Linked DNA regions of Schizosaccharomyces pombe. Changing the gene in region 3 together with the main gene of any one other region gives a genetic interaction. Each region holds a gene or a part of one and is shown on either strand. Other genes may lie near its edges. The genes, in order: xlf1, irc6 and ksg1.

Region 1 (6,634 bases), 1.2 Mb from region 3:
ATCCTTTGGCCTCTATATTATCTTCGATAGCTCTACGTGGTTATTCTTAAAAACATATGTTCTAGCAAATCTGATCTTTTGTCAATGTTTCACAATTGATTTGACTATTTTTCTATGCGGCTTGAATGATAATGATGAGAGTTCCAAATGGAACGTTGTGTGGATTCTTCTATTCCTTATAATTTTTTCCTCTCTCAAATGACTGTACAAACTATTTAGCAAGCACCTACATAATCAATTTTTGATTTACGAATTGGTAAAGGATGGCACGTAAAGTTATGCCCTCTGGTTTGGTTCAGTTTTATGATCTCTTGACAGTTTTACTAAAGTAACTAAGGGCATTTCATTACGATTATCTGTTTCGATACTTTTACCTAGGGAATGCTTTAGTGTTATTTGACATCATGTTTTGTTCTTGTGCAATATTTTTTGCTCAGGTCTATTGGCGATGAATTACTATATGGTGGATCTCAGTGCAAAAAGTTTACCATTATGTGAATAGTTATTAAAAGTTTAATGGGATTATAAATTAATGGGTTTTTTATTGCGCACCTTATGCTCCTGTTATAAAGAAAAGCAGGTCGCAAAGGTAAGAACTATTTTTATACAACAATAAAGGTTTTTACATCGTATGTTTTACAATTAACTGGCAGCTCTTTGTCAAAATTGTTTATTTACGGATTTAACTTGCCTTCTTGCGGTATTGACTGCTAAGCCGGAATTTGTGATATCAAGCCATCCGTTTCCCAGTCACGCGAAAACTCTTCCTTATGGAAATTTCATTTTAACAAGTACAAATCTGTTAAAACTACATTCATATAATCATATGCAGGCAGCCGATTAGAGAAAAACTAAATTTCTTAGGCAGAATTGTCATTATCCGTCAATACCGCGTTTTTTTTATTTTCCGCTTTGATTTTTTTTATCATTCTTTTTGGTTCTTTTATTTTTGTTTTTATTTGTTTTGTTTTCTTTTTTTCCTTTTCAAAAGTCATTTGAAGACAAAAACTCAACGTTGAAGAGAGCATTTGTTCATCTGTTGACTTTTCGCCAATACACCTGTTTTTTTATGGACTTGCTAAGTATAGTGTAAATTTAACGCTGTCGTTGATCCGTATGATTTCTTTTGATTAATTTAAATCGTTATATGTGACACTAGCAATTTTTGCTTCATGGCGGAAGAGACTGAAGAGGATTATTTAGTTGTGGGTCGTGATTACTTGTACCCCCCAGATCATGAACTGCACTATGGGTTTCATGCTCGTGTGATTGAAGAGGAGGAGGAGCGATTTGTAGATGATACCTTTGATGAAACAATCGAAGGATCGGATGACTCCGAATCAATAGATGATACGGAAGTATTTTACGATGCTGAAGAATCTGAAAGCACTCACCCTTCTGCTTCTTTCAACGTCCTTGCTGACGCCGTTGCGCTTTATGATTTCGAGCCCCTCCATGATAATGAACTCGGTTTTACTACTGGTCAGAGACTTTGTATTTTGTCGGAATCCAGCGATGGTTGGTTGATTGCATACGATGATGCCTCAGGAAGAAGCGGGCTTGTTCCTGAGACGTTTGTTAAATTAGAGGTATAAAAGAGCGTTGAATTGAACCCTTTTTACTTTTTCTTTTTGTCAAATTGATTTTAAAATGTTATTCCTTATTTTATGTTCCAAGATTTTCTGGATCCTCTCCTTTATATATAAGAATCCGAAGTGTTACGGGAAAAAAATTCGGATTGTCACGCTTCTTATGAATATTATTTAAATGTACGCCTTTAAAGCAACTATCATACAATTCTCCTTTGGGTAAATAACTAACCTTGGGATGTGTCGTAACTTGGGACTTATTTTTGATTTGTTATAAGGATGAAATGAATGTTCTATCTTATGGACCTTACAAGAAAAACTATAATATTGTCAAATATAATCATATGAGATGAGTTAAGCTACATAAAACTCTTTGAAACTTTATTTTATATTATTGCAACCTTCTAATAACTTTACATCTTCTTATCCAAAGAAGAAGGGTTAGAATGTACCGTGTTTTACGGAAGTTCCATTCCCGTAGGGTTACAATGTGTTGCTAGAATAAACCGTAAGTCATAGTACATATAGAGGCCAATTCTGTAAACTTTTTTAAAGTCTATGGAAAACCCTCTATGTGTCTCCAATAGAGAACGGACATCTCTTTCTGATTAGTATATACGTTTTCATAGTCTCTTCATCCTGAGGTAAATTGTACAAAACGCTGTAGTTAAACATGTGATCGAGTTAAATAGATATCTTCATAGTTCAATATACCATTAGATTTTTTTAAACAAAATCATAACGAGTACGAGGTCGTTTTGGAGAAATAATATCTGCAAATGCTGAACGTTTTCTTGGTGTGGAAGGATTGGAAGACGAGGATCTTTCATTTAATGCTTCCTTGAACCAAGTCTTGTCATTCAATAAAGACTTTTGATCACGAATAATGGACATTAACGATCCTGGACTAGTGTCGGTTTCTGACTCGAATAAGTGATGATTGATAAGAGGAAACCATACCATCTTGGCAATCGTCTCTGGTGGAGTAAGCCAAAGGGTCCAATTCCATTCTAAGAAAATATCTTTAGCTATTTTTGAGGTACAGAAAATTTTTAAAGATCCCTCGTCATTTGAGCCTCGTAGTTGAATTCTACTTTCAGAAGAAACATTCACCAGCACTTCAGCCAGTACATCGACTAACGTTTCAAACGTTTGAAATGGATCGATAGGACATCTTTCGCTCTGTTTAAAAGTTAATATAACTCTTGGTTGAGAGAAAGGTGTTAATTTGGTTGCATTTATAACTGCTTTTCCCCTGAAAGCATAGTAGCAATGTAGTTGTTAACTAATCTTACCTCTGCCTGATTGACGATTTGATTGCGGCTACATGTACAGGACCAAACACGCACTAGGTCTGTAATATGAATGACTTGTACAGCCTCATTACTTTCTGCGTCGAAGCTAGCCTGTATAAAATGAAACCTGTGGCCACGTAGCTGCACCCAAGACATCAAGTATAAACAAATGCAATGTCTTGTTCAGTATCTCAAATTGATTATAACAGCAATTCAATTGAAAATATTAAAGCTAAATCACTAAAATAGAAGAAATAAGCTCAGCAATGGTCACAGTTGAGAATTCGAGTTTGCAAAGTAGTATTGGTATTGATGAGAAAATTAAACAACCGATATATGCCAGAGTAAACAATAACTATGCCAAGTTATTCTTTAAACTTTAGAATGTGAAAATTAGATCAATTGGAATGCTTTTGTAAAATATTGTCTAGTGGTTTGAAAGTAGCCAGCGAAAGACAACACAAACAAGGACAGAAAGGAACTACCAAGTAATTTGAGAGCTATTTTTTTTTGAAGCTTAATTTGAAAACGAAAAAATTATTAAGTAGATAAGAATGACTCCGTTCGGTTTTTTCTTCTGCTCACAGAATTTCGTGGACTAGGGGACATTTCAGCGGTATGTTCAGAAGAAGTATTGTTTCTAATTTGAGAAGAGATATCCATTCTGGATAACTTCAAGGCCCTCTTGTTCCGAAGATTGACCTACAATCATCATCCGTGTTTACATGTAGCTCTTATATTCTGCACAAGCGTGCTACTGTGTTTATATATATATATTTTTTCTAACTAAAAGTATATATATGTTTGCTATTGCTACTTCATTGTAACGTCAATGGTAAATGAAGAAGTATGTGATATAAAAACGCAAATTAATTATGCCTAACTCATTAACGACTACGAAACGTCTGAAGGTAAGAGGCAGGGAACCACATACAATGAATGTACATACTACTTCCAAAAGGATTTCGCATTGTTTGTTAGAAAGAGATGAAAATCAGAGCTCTTAGTTTTTTTGAAGCAATGTCATTTCTTCTTATAATTTAAACTAAAATCAGAGGTGTTCAACAAAAAGGTCTCGTGGCCCAATGGTTAAGGCGCTTGACTACGGATCAAGAGATTCCAGGTTCGACTCCTGGCGGGATCGACCTTTTTGTTAAATAATTTTTTTGGGTTTTTTTGAATAATTCAATTTGAAAATACACAACCGTTATTATTTATAAATTCGAGTGCAAAAAGGATGTATGAACTTAGAGGACATAGTCAGTATATACTGAGCGGGATTTACATTCCACAAATGAATTTCATCGACTACATTAACTACTCCTGATTTACATTATATATTACTAAATTACTAACTGTGTGTCTACGGCCATACCTAGGCGAAAACACCAGTTCCCGTCCGATCACTGCAGTTAAGCGTCTGAGGGCCTCGTTAGTACTATGGTTGGAGACAACATGGGAATCCGGGGTGCTGTAGGCTCCTTCTTTTTTATTTACTATTTGCTTGGCTTCTGCAGTTAACAATTAGGAAGATGTACATATACATAACAAGTTTGAAAGCACTTATCGAGATGATTTGCAATTACGAATCATGAAAACTACAGCAGAAGTTCACGGCTTCTCAGGCTACAACAAAGTTCTACTTCTCTGAGTGGATCATTTTTAACAAAGTTGATTAATTAATTTTTAAAGAAAAATAGATATTTTTCCTTTCCACGGGGCATTTCAAAGGAAAAAAGAATCTGAAATACACTTTAAGAAAGGAGTTTTTTTCTCCCCATCGTATTCAATTCGGCAATCAATGTAACTTATAAAAGAGACTCAGACTGAATCAAATTCGATGGGTGCAACTTTCAAATTATTCTAAAGGGTTCATGCCCTCTATTTATAGTAAAAAGAGCGAAGAAAAAATTTTTGAACACACGAATTTTACACACAAACTGCACAACGCTTTAAGTGTTTTTCTAATTTAAATTCTGATAAATAACAAATTTGAATGCATAAGCTCAATAGACTATTCCCTCTAGCTGGATCTAAAACTTTGACTTCTGAAACAAATGCACAAGAAACAGTAATATCATTCATTATTGTTATATTGTTATAACAAGGTTTGATTCATTGATTTTGTTAATTATTTTTATACAATGAAATAAACAGAACAAGATATTAACGAACAATTTATTTTACAAGTGTTTTGTTTAGAGAAATTAACAAACAAAAAGAAGAAATGATCACAAATAAAGTATTCGAGGATTGGGAGAATGACTATTTCTTAAAGACAGAACAATTAACCGATGGATCGTTTACTAAGGAGTCCTTATAATAATAAAATTTAATATCGCAAAATTCAGCGAACGCTCTAACTGGCACTAATTAGATTGATAAATGTAGTCAATTGGAGCTTTGTAAACTAATGAACAAACTTAGAAACCAACGGACGTTTATTTTAGTGCTTCTCGTACATACGATATATAGTAATATGTAACATCGCATAGTGTGTTGCTAAAATATCAGTTTTAACGAGAGTGCGATATACGTCTTTACTGAGCTTTATGGTGTCATTAATCGGGGTCGCTCTATAACAAACGCGTGAAACTAGGACATCAACAATCCATAAGTACTAGCGTATTGAGATAGTTTCTTTAGTATTTTAAATCTGACGCTTTATAAGTATTGCTTCTTTTTTACAGAAATTCTATTGTGCTCTGTCGTGGACGCTTTATAGAAAAACCGTGTATTAAGAAACAAATCACCAATTATAAGAATTTGCTCTACTATTGTTTAAATCTCTCTTCAAAACTGGGAATCGAGATATTATTTAATATCTGTTTCTACTTATTGAAGGTATGTAATATTTTTTAAGCGTTCATGCACAGTGTACGCAGGTAATTGCTTTGTTTATATGCACACATGCAATATAATAATACATTTGGCTAATATATACAAAATTAGACATCTTGCTTTTCTTCATTGTCCCAAAAAAAAATATGCTGCAAAATTGGTTTTTCCAAACTTCAATCATTGTGTGAACTCGAATATCAAGTAGGGTTTGTTTTATGTGATTGTTCAAGCCTTTCCTACTTTTAACTATTTTTATCTTTTATTTTTTCAGTTGATGCTTTCATATTAGTTCATCAATTTGAGTATTACTCGTTCATGTATCTGTATAGTAGACTGCACGTACAGTTGCTTTTTGTCACTTGCTAGCAATGGATCGAATGGAAATAGACGACCAGGCTGGCATAGATTTTGTCACTGAGTCCATCAACTCTGAACGTGCGCGTAACAGATGGTCAACTTCGCATATTCCTTCATTAAGTGAAATCAATCCCTCCTCTTTTCAATCTCCCTCGCCTTCTCCTTTTGCTTCCTCCACTTCTTTAGCTTCCAAACCGGCTCGCTACAGTAAACCTTTGGGGCTTTTTGTGCTTGATACAAATTTCCTTTTGTCGCATCTGAGCCTTTGTCAAAACCTTATTGAATTTCTTACAGCTCGTTGCCCTCGACTTGTTGTCGTACTACCATGGACGGTCCTTCAAGAGCTAGATGGCCTTAAGTCAGAATCCTCCTCTACTTGTGGTTATTTGGCTAGACAAGCTCATAACTTTCTTTTGCAATGCTTTCGATCTAATGTTTCAAGTCTTCGTGGGCAGAAAGTACATGAACACTGCTCATCTACTGAAAAAGGTGATGACGCTATCCTTGATTGCTGCATATACTATCAAGAAGAAAAACTTATTCCTGCCGTCC
Region 2 (4,590 bases), on a different chromosome or scaffold from region 3:
TCTTTGTTAATGTCGCTCGCTTTTGATGCTGGTCTAAAAGCAGTGTTATCCATTATTTGATTTATCATATTTATACTCAAAAAAATTCAAGACAGGAACTTGATATTCAAGCGCTGATGTTCCAATTACTCATTTGTGAAAGTTTAACTTCAGAATCTAGCGGATTTAATAAATACAATCCTAATTCTTCAACAATTGTACTATCAAATATCGTCTAGTATTTTAAATTCATTTTCTGTGCTTTAATAAAAAATCCATATCGTCTACTAGAGGCATATTTTTTTGGTTCTTCTTGCTAAATTAAGCTCGTAAAATTCCTCTATTCGCCATATCTTCTTTGGCGTTTGATCTTCTCAGTAAATTATCACATAAGGTCATTTCCTTTTTATAAAGATAATGTGTAAACAAAGAAATGCGACTTCTAATTTACGTTTCTTTACTAGCCATTAGTTTATAAATAATAAAGCATACTGGACATTGCCTTAAAAATGCACCGAACTGTTGGTCTGCGGTATTTTGATATACAGCAATACATTAGAGCTTTATATTAAATAATACCGTTTCGTTAATATATGCAAGGCCAAAATATATACAAATAAATCGACTTAATTTTTTGCCCGTTGTCAATTACTTGACAGGAAACAATTGTGTATCTTTTTTCACACATCAATGCAATTTAATGGAAGCAATGGAATAGATGAAAGCAGTGTAATTGATTTGACGAGATCACCTTCTCCACCAGTCGAAACTTCTATTTCTTCAACAAATATCATTGATTTGGATGCTATTCCTGATGACAGCTTTCCATCATCTCCTGTTCTAAGTCCTCGAAGAAGGCGTATGAACCGGAGAAGGAATGAACGGTCTCGTAACTTTCCTTCAAATCATTTATCGTATTTGGAAGACATGATTTACTTAGGTCCTCAGGTGTCCACTCGTCGTTCTTCTTCACGTCGAGATTTGATGGGAATGATTGCCAGGACATTTCCTGAGTTTAGTTCTGTTAATTCCTTATCCCCTTCTCTTTTCCAGTTGATTGTGAACCGAATGAGATTTGACGCTATACATCCAGAATGGACTAACGGTTCAGACGACGAATATTTCTCTAACCATTTTGAAGAATCATATGATGATTTTACTTCTTCTTTAGAAAATATAAAACAGTCTTACAAGCCTCCAGGCCCTCCAAAATCTGGATTTACTAGAAGCTTTAACAATGATACATTGATGGTTTGTCCAAGATGTCAGGAACCATTAGGAACATCCAAAAGCAAAGAGAAATCTGCATTATGGGCAACAAAGTGTGGTCACGTCTATTGTGGCTCTTGTGCAAAAGTTTTGAAAACCAGTAAACGATCTCAGTCAAAATGTCTAGTGAATGACTGTGGCCGTTATTTAAATACGAAAAATGCCATGTGGGAATTATTTTATTGACGAACCTTGTACATTGAAAATGTAGTCCATTGTGTTGGATTTATAATGTCTATAATAATGAAATACGACCAAAATTATCACAATTTGTGACTGAGCTTTACTTACGAATTTTTTTTAAGTTGCTAATAGGTCCTCTTTCAATACAGCAGATTTAGATTTTAGTAAAAAATACTTTGATAAAACTTAATTGAACCTTTCTTGCAAACTCAAATAGTTATTATACATCAATTTGTGCTCCAGCGACAACATGTATTCTCCGGATACGAACAAAGGCCTTGTTTCTACAGCGATTCATAATCATTTTCCTCGAATTCATCGCCTAACAATTTTTCTAAAAGATTTAAAGCCTTGGCCTTTTTCTCATTTTTTTCCAGGTCAGCATCTAAATTTCGTTGTTAGTTTAGTCGACTCAAGGAGTTACCAACCTCTAATTTGGTTCATTTCTTTCATCAAATTATCCAGATCCGTCGATTGCATGTCTGGACTTCCTTTGAATCGTTCCGGGAGATAGAAATCTCCGGCATCATCCTTTTCTTCCGAGAAACTTTTATCAACTTGTGACAAGTTCCATTCGCAGCAATCGAGAATTTCTCGAACACGGTCCAGTCCTACTTTCTCTAAAGAGACTTGTTAATAAATAGAAGATTGGTTGACTTTACCATTGAATTCATTCACTCCTTCCTCGCTGATAGAAATATATTCTGGGGTAAACACATCAGGTGGTTCTAGTAATTTTTCATCTGACATGTGCAACCCAATTACCGGAATCTCTAGCTGTAGTTTATCTATAAAATTTTTAAAAAGAGACCACTCAGCTTCATCAAAACTTCGAAAAGTATATACAATGGCACCTAAGCTATCAATAACTTCCTTCGCTTCTTCAGAACTATAAGCATCCAAAGTTTCAGCTAAATTAGAATATTCTTCAATCCAAATACCAACCGAAGCTTCAAAATATTTATTTCTGATATTATACTTATGAATCAAGCCAGAATGATCATTGTTAAATGCCTCGTCATCTAACCCCTTCGGTAAAGAACCCGTCAAAGCTTTTCAATTAGTAATTGCAAATAGAACACTAATATTTACCCTTAATAAAATCTAGCTTTCCAGAATTAGAGCGACCTATAACCAAAATAACTCGCATATGATTTTATGTACTTAGCAAAAATTAATTCGCTTTTTTATATTTTCAATCAGTTCTGTAGAATATTAAACAAGTTTTTGGTGGATAAATAAATTCTCGAAAGACCTAAAGGTAAGGCAAATTGTGATTTTAACTACAGTCTAACAGTTTAATGAAACAAGGATTGAGCAATAGTATAGCGCAGTGTGATACATTCCTAAATCAATAATGGTTTAGTTTATCACTAACGAAGGTTGGTACGTAATTTTACGTGTCCCTAACTCTGTGTTATACGCACACGCATAAATGGCTTTAAATACCAAGACGCACAAAAATTAAAGTTGACGAATTTGTCGTGCTTTGGAGTGACTTAGAATTTTAAATGCAAACAATAGACTACTATATATTAAAAGAAATATGTCGTTCACAAATGCCACGTTTTCGCAAGTGCTGGATGATTTATCAGCTAGATTTATCTTGAATTTACCAGCAGAGGAGCAAAGTAGCGTTGAACGACTTTGTTTTCAAATCGAACAAGCTCATTGGTTTTATGAAGATTTTATACGTGCGCAAAACGATCAGTTGCCATCACTAGGTTTGCGTGTTTTTAGTGCAAAGCTTTTTGCTCACTGTCCTTTATTGTGGAAGTGGAGTAAGGTCCATGAAGAGGCGTTTGATGATTTTTTACGATATAAGACTCGTATTCCTGTCCGCGGAGCTATAATGCTTGATATGTCAATGCAGCAATGCGTACTTGTCAAAGGATGGAAAGCATCATCCGGCTGGGGATTTCCTAAGGGAAAAATTGATAAAGATGAATCTGATGTTGATTGTGCTATTCGTGAAGTATATGAAGAAACAGGCTTTGACTGTTCTAGCCGTATAAATCCTAATGAATTTATTGATATGACTATACGTGGACAAAACGTTCGATTGTATATTATTCCTGGAATATCTTTGGATACAAGATTTGAATCTCGTACAAGAAAAGAAATTAGTAAAATTGAATGGCATAATCTTATGGATCTTCCTACATTCAAAAAAAATAAACCTCAGACCATGAAAAACAAATTTTACATGGTAATCCCATTTTTGGCGCCATTGAAGAAATGGATTAAGAAGAGGAATATTGCCAATAACACTACCAAAGAAAAGAACATTTCCGTTGATGTTGATGCTGATGCTTCTTCCCAACTGCTTTCTCTTTTGAAATCTTCGACAGCACCTTCAGACCTTGCTACTCCGCAACCTTCAACTTTTCCTCAGCCACCAGTTGAATCACATTCTTCTTTTGACATTAAACAGAAAATCTTGCATTTATTAAATGAAGGAAATGAACCTAAATCTCCAATTCAACTTCCTCCTGTGTCGAACCTTCCTCTTAATCCCCCCATTCAAAGCAGCAATTCTCGTTTATCGCATGATAATAACAGTTTCGATCCTTTTGCTTACCTTGGATTGGATCCAAAAAATCCATCTGCTTCTTTTCCAAGAGTTGTTTCTCAAAACAACATGTTAACTAATAAACCTGTGTTGAATAATCACTTTCAGCAGAGTATGTATTCAAATTTACTTAAAGACCAAAATTCTGTTCAGCATTTATTTGCCGCTAGCGACATGCCTTCTCCAATGGAATTGCCCTCGCCAAGTACTGTTTATCATCAAGTTTTTTATCCTCCCACTTCGACTTCCGTTAGTTCCTATGGTTTAGGCAAAACTCCGCAACCAGCATACGGATCTTCTTCTCCCTATGTAAATGGTCATCAGACTCAACAAATTTCTTCTCTTCCTCCTTTTCAATCTCAGACTCAGTTTTTAGCTCGAAATTCCGATAACTCAGGTCAATCATATAATTCGGAAGGAGACTCAAATTCAAAAAGGTTATTAAGTATGCTCTCTCAGCAGGATACGACACCCTCATCTTCTACGTTAAGCAAAGAGGCAAATGTTCAATTAGCGAATCTTTTTTTGACGCCTAATTCATTAGAGACAAAGAAATTTTCTGACAATAGTCAAGGAGAGGAAATATC
Region 3 (8,243 bases):
AATATAACTTCCATAAACTGGTTAATTGACGCTCGAGTGTTTTGAGTTTTTTTATAACAAATCCCCCACAAGTCTTATTTAATTAAACAACTGAAAATTAAAACGTTGCTTATCACATACTGTTTCAATAACATTTCGTTCTATCACAAAGCTTTATTAAAAACGTCTCCATTTAGTATCAGCCTAACTAAAGTCAAGGGCTAGTTGAGCTGCGATGCCATTTTCCAAATCTTCTAATTCTAAAACAATATCTTCATTTTCAGAAGATGACATGATAGAGTTCTTTTTCTCTTCATAAGCTCGACTAAACGAATAATTAGCACATAAGTAATACAAAAGCCCTTACCAAACTGCCTCTTTTGAATAAATCCTTAAGTATTGAGTAATTAATTCTAAAGCACTTGGAGTAATTTTGGTTCCCTTTTCTGAACTGAAATACAAGGTCAGAATGCGTGCCAACGTATTGAGGGACAGCAGTTCGCTTTCCTGCTCCATTACACTTCAATGACAGAGAAATTAATTGATTTCGGCCTTGAACAAGAGGAGGAGGATACGGAATTTGTCCCAGGTGACAGTACGGATACGGAGTCGTCGTTTTCTGATGCTGATTCAAGTGAGGAGGAGTTCGTAGAGGAAAAAGAAGCCTCGCAAGTTCAAAGTACTAAATCAAAAATTGCAACCAGTGAATCTGAAGATGTTACTCTTAAAAATATAGCAAAAAAAAATAAAAGAGAAAGAAATGATAAATTAATCCCTCAACAATCAAATGAATCCGAGGCAATTGAGAAACCGGTACAGTCTACAACCGAAGTGGAACTGAAGACTAATGAACTTGCAGAATCGAATTCCTCAGTTGCCGTAGAAGGGGATGAAAATTCCTATGCTGAAACACCTAAGAAGAAACACTCATTGATAAGGAAACGCCGTAAATCTCCACTTGATAGCTCGTCAGCCCAAAAGGTTTTAAAGAAAAACAAGCTAAACACTCTTGAACAAGCACAGCAAAATTGGTCAAAGTATATTAAGGAACAGGATATTCAAGATGAGCTTCGGATCGCCAATAAAGATGGTTATGTCGAGCGCCAGGAATTCTTAGCAAAAACCCGTGCTGCACATGAAGAAAAAATTCGAGAGATGAAAAAGTTGCCGTAACAAAATGGTTTAAAACTTAAAACTAGTATTTTTTTTAATGAAGAACCCCTTTTGTCTAAGACACCAGCCGGCAGCATTGAACGAGTCCATGTCGATTTTGCGTTTCTTCAACTACTTCACCTCCTCCAAGCCAGGAAGTCGTTGTCTTTCTAAAACTTCATTTGAAAATATCCAGATATTATTTAAATGTTTTATTTAATTGGATTAGGATTATTTGATGAAAAGGATATTACCTTAAGAGGCCTAGAAACAGTAAAAAAATGTCAGCGTATATATCTTGAGGCATATACGTCCATTTTGCTCGTTCAGAAGGAAAAATTAGAAGAACTTTATGGTAAAGAGGTTATCCTTGCTGATCGTGAAATGGTAGAGAGCAGTAGTGATGAAATCTTGAAAGACGCTGACAATTGTGATGTTGCAATGCTTGTTGTTGGTGATCCGATGGGGTATGTTTACTTGAAAGTACATGTTCCTTTTATTTATCTTTTTTTTATTTACTTTGAGAAATTTGACTCAGCTGTTTATTACAGGCTTTTAGCCCTTACGACAGCATCTCTCAGTTATTAAAAAAGCTTTGGTTTTTGCGAATTGTCTCTTTAAAGAACATTCAGTTTGTCATCGAACCCTATGATCTGTAAAGATTTAATTGTAGTGAATACTAATGACTCTTTAATTTGAGAACCCGTGCTTTTAATAATCGTTTATTTTTTATTGTATTACTAATTGTTTAGAGCTACCACTCATGCTGATCTAGTTATAAGAGCTCGTGAGCTTAAGATTCCTGTTCGCATGATACACAATGCCTCCATTATGAACGCTATTGGTGCATGTGGTTTACAACTCTACAAGTTTGGTCAAACAGTCAGTCTTGTCTTCTTCGAAAACAATTACCGTCCTCAAAGTTTCTATGACCACATTAAAGAGAACGTTAGTTTGGGACTTCATACCTTAGTTTTGCTGGGTAAGTTAATAGATTATAGTAGTTGGTGTTCTGACAATAAAAGATATCAAGGTAAAGGAGCAAAGCTGGGAAAATCTTGCTCGAGGCAGGAAAGTATACGAACCTCCTCGCTATATGTCTGCTAGTTTGGCTGCTCAGCAGATGTTGGAAGTCGAAGAGGATCGTCAAGAAAATAGTACGTTCATTTTAAAATGTTTTTCTATTAATTGTTAACCACCCTTAGTATGCACACCAGACTCTTTATGTGTGGCTGTTGGAAGAATGGGTTCCGATGATCAAGTTATATTTGCAGGCACATTGCAAGAGTTAGCTGAGCATGATATAGGTCCTCCATTGCACAGCGTGGTTCTCGTCGGTAGAGATGTTCACGATTTAGAATTAGAATTTCTACGTGCGTACGCAGTCAATCTCGAGAACTTTGATCGTGTCGCAAAAACATACTTGGAGAAGTAATTCATTATTTATCATACTAGTAAATTGATGCTTGAAGTTTTTTTTTCTGATATTAAGCGAAACCTAATTTTTATGTACAAGTCATACTTGCATAATTAACTTAATCTGTAGATTAATCATAAATTGAGAGAATGTACAACTGGCTTTTGGGAATAATTTCTTTAAATTTTTTTACTACGTAGGTAGAGGTATATTAACTAGTAAACGGTGAAATGTTCTTGGATCGATAACTTTTACCATTTTAACATTTTAAGGCTAAGGTAAAAAATATAAAATAAATAGATCCATAATAAGAATAAGCAAATAAAATCAATTGACCGTTAATAACAAAATACAGAAATCATACGGCAATCTAATTTTGTAATCACACTGAAGGATCACGGATATAAAGATTTTTTTTCGAATTAAACAACGAACGTAAGAGAAAAACTTAAAAAGAATTTCTTGAAACATCAATAAGGTCGTAAGAAAATTAATGCAGAACAGAACAGAAAAAAGAGTGATAGAATAAAAAGTGAGGGGATGGATGGAAGTGTTCATAGACATAAAGGATAGATTAGACAGCACTTCTAGCAATGCTTCTTGAAAAGCTGGTAACAGAATGATTACCGAATGGAAGAGAAATAGAGCTAGCCTTATCTAGAAGCTCAACCCAAGCAGAAGCCGGTCCATTCGGGTCTTCAAACGACCAGGATTTTGTTGGAGTCTCAACTACCCAGCCATGTTCATTGTTTTTTACCATCCGACAACGCATGCCTACACTCTTAATAGGTATTTCTTCTTTAACTGTTTTTCGCCCTTCACCGTCCGAGGCAACACACAGGTATCGACCAAAATTTGTAAGTATAAAGGTCCGAGGTTTCCTTTTTCGAAAAAGACTGGAGAAAAAGCGAAAGGCATCATTTCCATTGATACCAGACATACTATAAACATTGAGGGTTCCAATTTTTGAGATTTTTTCATCGTCTTGAAGAATACTCGACCATTCCTTGTTTTCCTCCTCAAGGTTGGATTGACACGGCAATAGAGTGCCTCGGTTAAAAGTACCAACCGGAGAGGGTGCAGCATTGGTGGATGCTGAAACCATCGATGGAACACCAAGAGGCGAGGTCAAATCACCATTTTCGTGTTTGTTAGATGCATTAGGAACGGAAAGGCTGAGGACGCTAGTATGACCAAAAGGTTTAAGACGGGGAGGAGGAAGTTCCCAAAGGGTATTATCAAATTTGATACCATTAAAAAACGGATGCTGGTGTATTTCATCAACAGTTAAGCGATCTTTAGGATCTAGAACTAGCAGTTTTTTAATCAAATCAGAAGCGACATCTGATATGTCAGGTGGTATCTCATAACTCAAATGAAGAATACTTTGGAATGTCAAATATTCATTTCCTGCTACAAAAGGGGGTTTGCCAGCTAGCATTTGGAAAAGAATGCAACCAAACGCCCAAATATCGGAAGCCGTACCAGCAATTTTATCACTTAAAACTTCAGGAGATACATAACGAGCAGTTCCTACAAACGATCGAGAATGAGCCTGTGGTTTGTCAGCATGGTGTGTGTCTTCTTCATGACTGCCATGTGAAGAGTTTAATATTTTTGCTGAACCAAAGTCGGTAATTTTTGTACGCATATTATCATCCAGCAAAATATTTTCGGGCTTCAAGTCACGGTGAATCACTCCTCGTCCATGCATATAGTCTATTGAGTCAACGATAAGTGCAGCATAATATTGTGCACATATTTCGTTAAATCGTCCCAACTAAATTATGTGTAAGCAAAAAATAAAACATTTAATAAGAAAAAAGACAAGATTGTAATAATCAGTAAGCTATCCATCATCAAGCTGCATGAACATTATTTATACATACCTTATTGATATAATCCAACAGTTCACCATTTCGAGCAAGACTCAAAACAAAATACAAATTGTGAGCATCTTGGAAAGTATAAAATAGCTTAATAAATCCAGGATGCTTAGAGAGGATGCACAAAGCTTCTTTTTCAATGTTGACGTATTTTTCCTTTTTTTCCTTGATAATATGTCTTTTATCCAACACCTTAATAGCATATTCTCTTTTTGTTGAGTTTTCGGTAGCTGTTAATACAGTACTGTATGATCCTTCTCCAAGGATTTCGCCAAATTTAAAATCCGAAACTCGTTTTATGTTAGGAGTCGATGCACCGCTAGACGGATTTGGAGTAGAGATATGTGGGACTGCAGAGGGAATCTTCGGCGATGAATCGATCTGAGACGTTGACTCATTTGGTGTAGTATTTAAAGCATTAGACTGCGGGATGGCACTATTTTGCGTCTTTGGTAATGAAGCTCGGTTTAGTTTTTCACTTGATCCATGATCAAAACTAAGGTCGGATTCGCTTTGAGTATCATTTTCTGCATCTTCTGATGCTTCAGTTTCATTCGGATTGTGCGTATTTCGCATAACCAATATCTGGTGTGAAGAGAGTACTGGGTAGGTGAATCAGTGTCAGTAAACTACGAATTGACGGCAATGTCATCAAAAGAAAATTGCACATATTCGGTAAAATTAGTGCTTATAACTGCAAGTATACAACTATTGTACTATTGTTATATAAGATTTTGCTATCCGGGTTATGATTTGCATCGTTGTGAGTGCGAAAATTAATATTGCATGGACATTTTAGATAAACTAAATATTCATTCATTTGATTTAGATCATGCTTTTTTTAGTAACTATAAGTTTATTTATTTTTTTAAGGAGCCTAGAGAAGTAGTTCATCAAGGTAATGATTTATATTACTATGTGAATCAGCGCTGAGTATACACAGTCATACGCAAATTCTTAATGGAGTAGAGAAAATCATTACATAAAAGTAAAAAAATTGTCAAACCAAGTATTTTCGTCTTGGCTGGTTGAATAGCATTACCTTCGGGTGTGGAATTCAATATGATTTAATTTCAATAACTTAAAAGATCACTTAGGTTTTAATGAATAACTCAGTTTATATACGAAGAGCATTAGAAGCTTTTATACCAGAATCGTAGCTGAATATGCGGGAAACATATTTTACTTGAATTTCAACTTACCGTATCAATTTTACAGAGAGAGAAAATTATGCACCATTCAGTTTATAAATATGAATTATTTGTTCAGCACAGAATCAAAAATAAAGTGCCATTGTTTAGAATTGCATTTTCCACTACACCTAATAGGAACAAAGTGTGTTTGATTTGTTTCAATTTAGTGTTGTAAACAATTCATTTTGGAGATATAACATAAAGAAAAGGGTTGGTATGAATGCCAATATCTTGCTAGCGAATTCATATATTTTGCTTACGAACAAATCTTCATTAAAGGACAACCAACGCAAGATTTAACTGAAGGATACCATCTTTATTTTAACTATTCTATAAATCAATTTTTGAGCCTTTTTTTTCTGGGGTATATGCGTGAGAGAAAATGAAGTAATTACGATATAGTACATTAAATGAGTTTTTTGTCCGTCAATATCCTTTTTAAAAAATTAGTTAGTAAAATAAAGAATGATAATGAAGTTTTACAAAAAAAAATTTGTTTATTGAGTATTATCTGGGTGAAAAACAAAGAAAATATAAAATTATAACTGGAATTAAAGAAACAAGACGTTCACAAACATAAATTAGCAAATTCAGAAAAAATTAAAAAAATTTAATAATAATGACATTTTACTATCAGCCCCCTCTGTTTATTTAAAATATTATATTTTTGGAAGGCATGTATACCAAAATATTTAGTATCTAATTTTTAAGTTGTGATGTAATAAATCATATTCCTATAATACAACGATTAACTTAGATGATTTAATTTTCAAAAATTTTTCATATTCATTTTCATTCGCCTGGACGGATATGAAATATATAAACTCCATTTGTCAGAAGATTAAACCATGTGAAATTGTGAAGGTAGCGCATTTTACACTTATTGTGAAAGACTGGAAATTGGTTGTTTTCGTTTCCAAATTGCAATTTTGTTTTTGTTAAGCCACTGACCTTGAAACATAATAATATTCGTGTAACACACAAAAAGAATCTAAATTTGGTATCATAAGTCGCAAGTCATAATTAAACTATCAAAAAGATCGAGTAAATAAAAGTAGTCCAACTGTAACAAAAGGATATTTTCAAATGATGAAAACTAGAGAATTCGAAATCGTAAATAAATGAGGATGTTTCGAATGTTTTTAATTACAGCATTCGGTTATATCAACCTTATTTAAAGTTCGCTTAAGCAGTCATTAATTCAATATTTATGGTCTTTATCCTTAAAGCAACTTTTCAAAATTTTCAAATATATAATGATATATCCCTTTCGGATTTCGATTCTCTTTATGTATATAGTCTTCCTTTCAACCAGGTCACTTTTAAAGAAGCAAGTGGTACAAATACGGTTTCCTAACGATAACGCTGTTTAAAGCATAGGAAATGAAAGAAGTGTCGTTGTGCGGTTTTACTGTCAGCTACACACTTTATTATCTACTTTAACGATACGTAAATTGCATTAATTCTTACCTGTAATCTATTATATTATAGATGCAGATTAACGAGTTCTTTTATGTAAGTATTCTTATAAATGAGTTATCCTGTTACCTATCCACTAAAGGTAGCTTAAAGTTAAACTGAGGACTAAGCCTCAATAGGAGCCGTATCTATATACTACAATAACACGCGCTTTAGTAAACTATCAACGAGGTCTTTTTTAACGTTGTATCATAGATGATATGATGTGTAAATAAAACATGTGACATATAGTGATACGCAACGTAGTGTGCCATATCGTAGTGCAGTATTCCTGACACATGTTATTACTATAACAAACCATCGTTCTGAATATTTTATTATGCTATTCATTATTTTGTAAACATTAATTTTGTTTGAATTGAACCATTAAACAAAAAGAAAAAATGATAATTAAGCTTGATTCATTAAGAATCAAGATGAAGGAGAAATGAATGCAATAAACGACAATGAATTTGTAAATTTAACAAGGCGGAACAACGAGTTTTTCGATTTCATTAGTTGATTTTAAGTTGTCGTAAACAAGTTAAACCATTATTGTTTGTGACTTGAGTACCATTAAAAAAGACACATAATTAGACTCGCATACATAATAAATAAAGACTTCGGTCCTCAATGCACATTATCCAACATCGTAGAATGCATTGGTTGGCAATTTTTGATAACTGGAAGAATAAGTTAAGCATATATTCCATAAACTTATAAAGGAAGAGGATGATTAAAGAATGTTGGTGCTTATTTTTAAAAAAACGCCGCAGCTTCTCTGCGTTGATGATTTTCGTAAAGAGGTTTTCCAACTGTAGCGACAACTACATTAATAACGCAATTATACTTCGCTTTCAACTTCCATTTCCCCCAAGGGAATGTCATTATTATCGTTGGCACCTCTAATCGCATTTCCTATCCGCCCACTTGCATTTCCTATACCTTCTAATCAGGTAAGTAAAAAATAATTCATAGAGTTTTTTTGAATACACATACCTAATATAAAACCTATAACATTCCCAGTAGTGTTGCGCATCCTCTTGAGTACACCTGGACGTTCTGATATGGTTAGAGTAAATTACAGGAATATATAACGAACCCATTTCGTAAAGAAAAAGAGCACAAACCCTTCGATTTCGTAGCCTCTCCATCCGA

The links.
Region 1: mutations in ksg1 (region 3) and xlf1 together harm fitness more than expected from each alone (negative genetic interaction), as found in Schizosaccharomyces pombe (one large-scale study listed by BioGRID).
Region 2: mutations in ksg1 (region 3) and irc6 together harm fitness less than expected from each alone (positive genetic interaction), as found in Schizosaccharomyces pombe (one large-scale study listed by BioGRID).

The regions. Positions count from the first base shown.
Region 1 is NC_003421.2:921,897-928,530, forward strand, and holds xlf1 (XRCC4-like factor xlf1), read right to left. Parts: upstream 3,196-6,634; 5' UTR 3,041-3,195; coding exon 2,885-3,040; intron 2,772-2,884; coding exon 2,316-2,771; downstream 1-2,315. Other genes in the region: EKC/KEOPS complex subunit Cgi121, read left to right, coding at 1-50; skb5 (Shk1 kinase-binding protein 5), read left to right, coding at 1,173-1,595; swt1 (RNA endoribonuclease), read left to right, coding at 6,094-6,634.
Region 2 is NC_003424.3:2,463,339-2,467,928, reverse strand, and holds irc6 (recombination protein Irc6), read right to left. Parts: upstream 2,705-4,590; 5' UTR 2,582-2,704; coding exon 2,524-2,581; exon of another isoform or gene 2,484-2,523; coding exon 2,094-2,483; exon of another isoform or gene 2,052-2,093; coding exon 1,860-2,051; exon of another isoform or gene 1,817-1,859; coding exon 1,716-1,816; 3' UTR 1,435-1,715; coding exon of another isoform or gene 670-1,434; 3' UTR 501-669; downstream 1-500. Other genes in the region: SUMO-targeted ubiquitin-protein ligase subunit Rfp1, read left to right, coding at 670-1,434; mRNA-decapping complex catalytic subunit Dcp2, read left to right, coding at 2,978-4,590.
Region 3 is NC_003421.2:2,101,249-2,109,491, forward strand, and holds ksg1 (serine/threonine protein kinase Ksg1), read right to left. Parts: upstream 5,043-8,243; 5' UTR 5,011-5,042; coding exon 4,438-5,010; intron 4,329-4,437; coding exon 3,123-4,328; 3' UTR 2,690-3,122; downstream 1-2,689. Other genes in the region: FANCM-MHF complex subunit Mhf2 , read right to left, coding at 184-304, 347-495; Swr1 complex subunit Swc5, read left to right, coding at 505-1,152; diphthine synthase Dph5, read left to right, coding at 1,339-1,598, 1,884-2,113, 2,157-2,288, 2,337-2,566. UniProt on the Schizosaccharomyces pombe protein: Involved in the control of sexual development and cell growth under stressed conditions. Phosphorylates AGC kinase gad8 at 'Thr-387', activating gad8 kinase activity and promoting sexual development.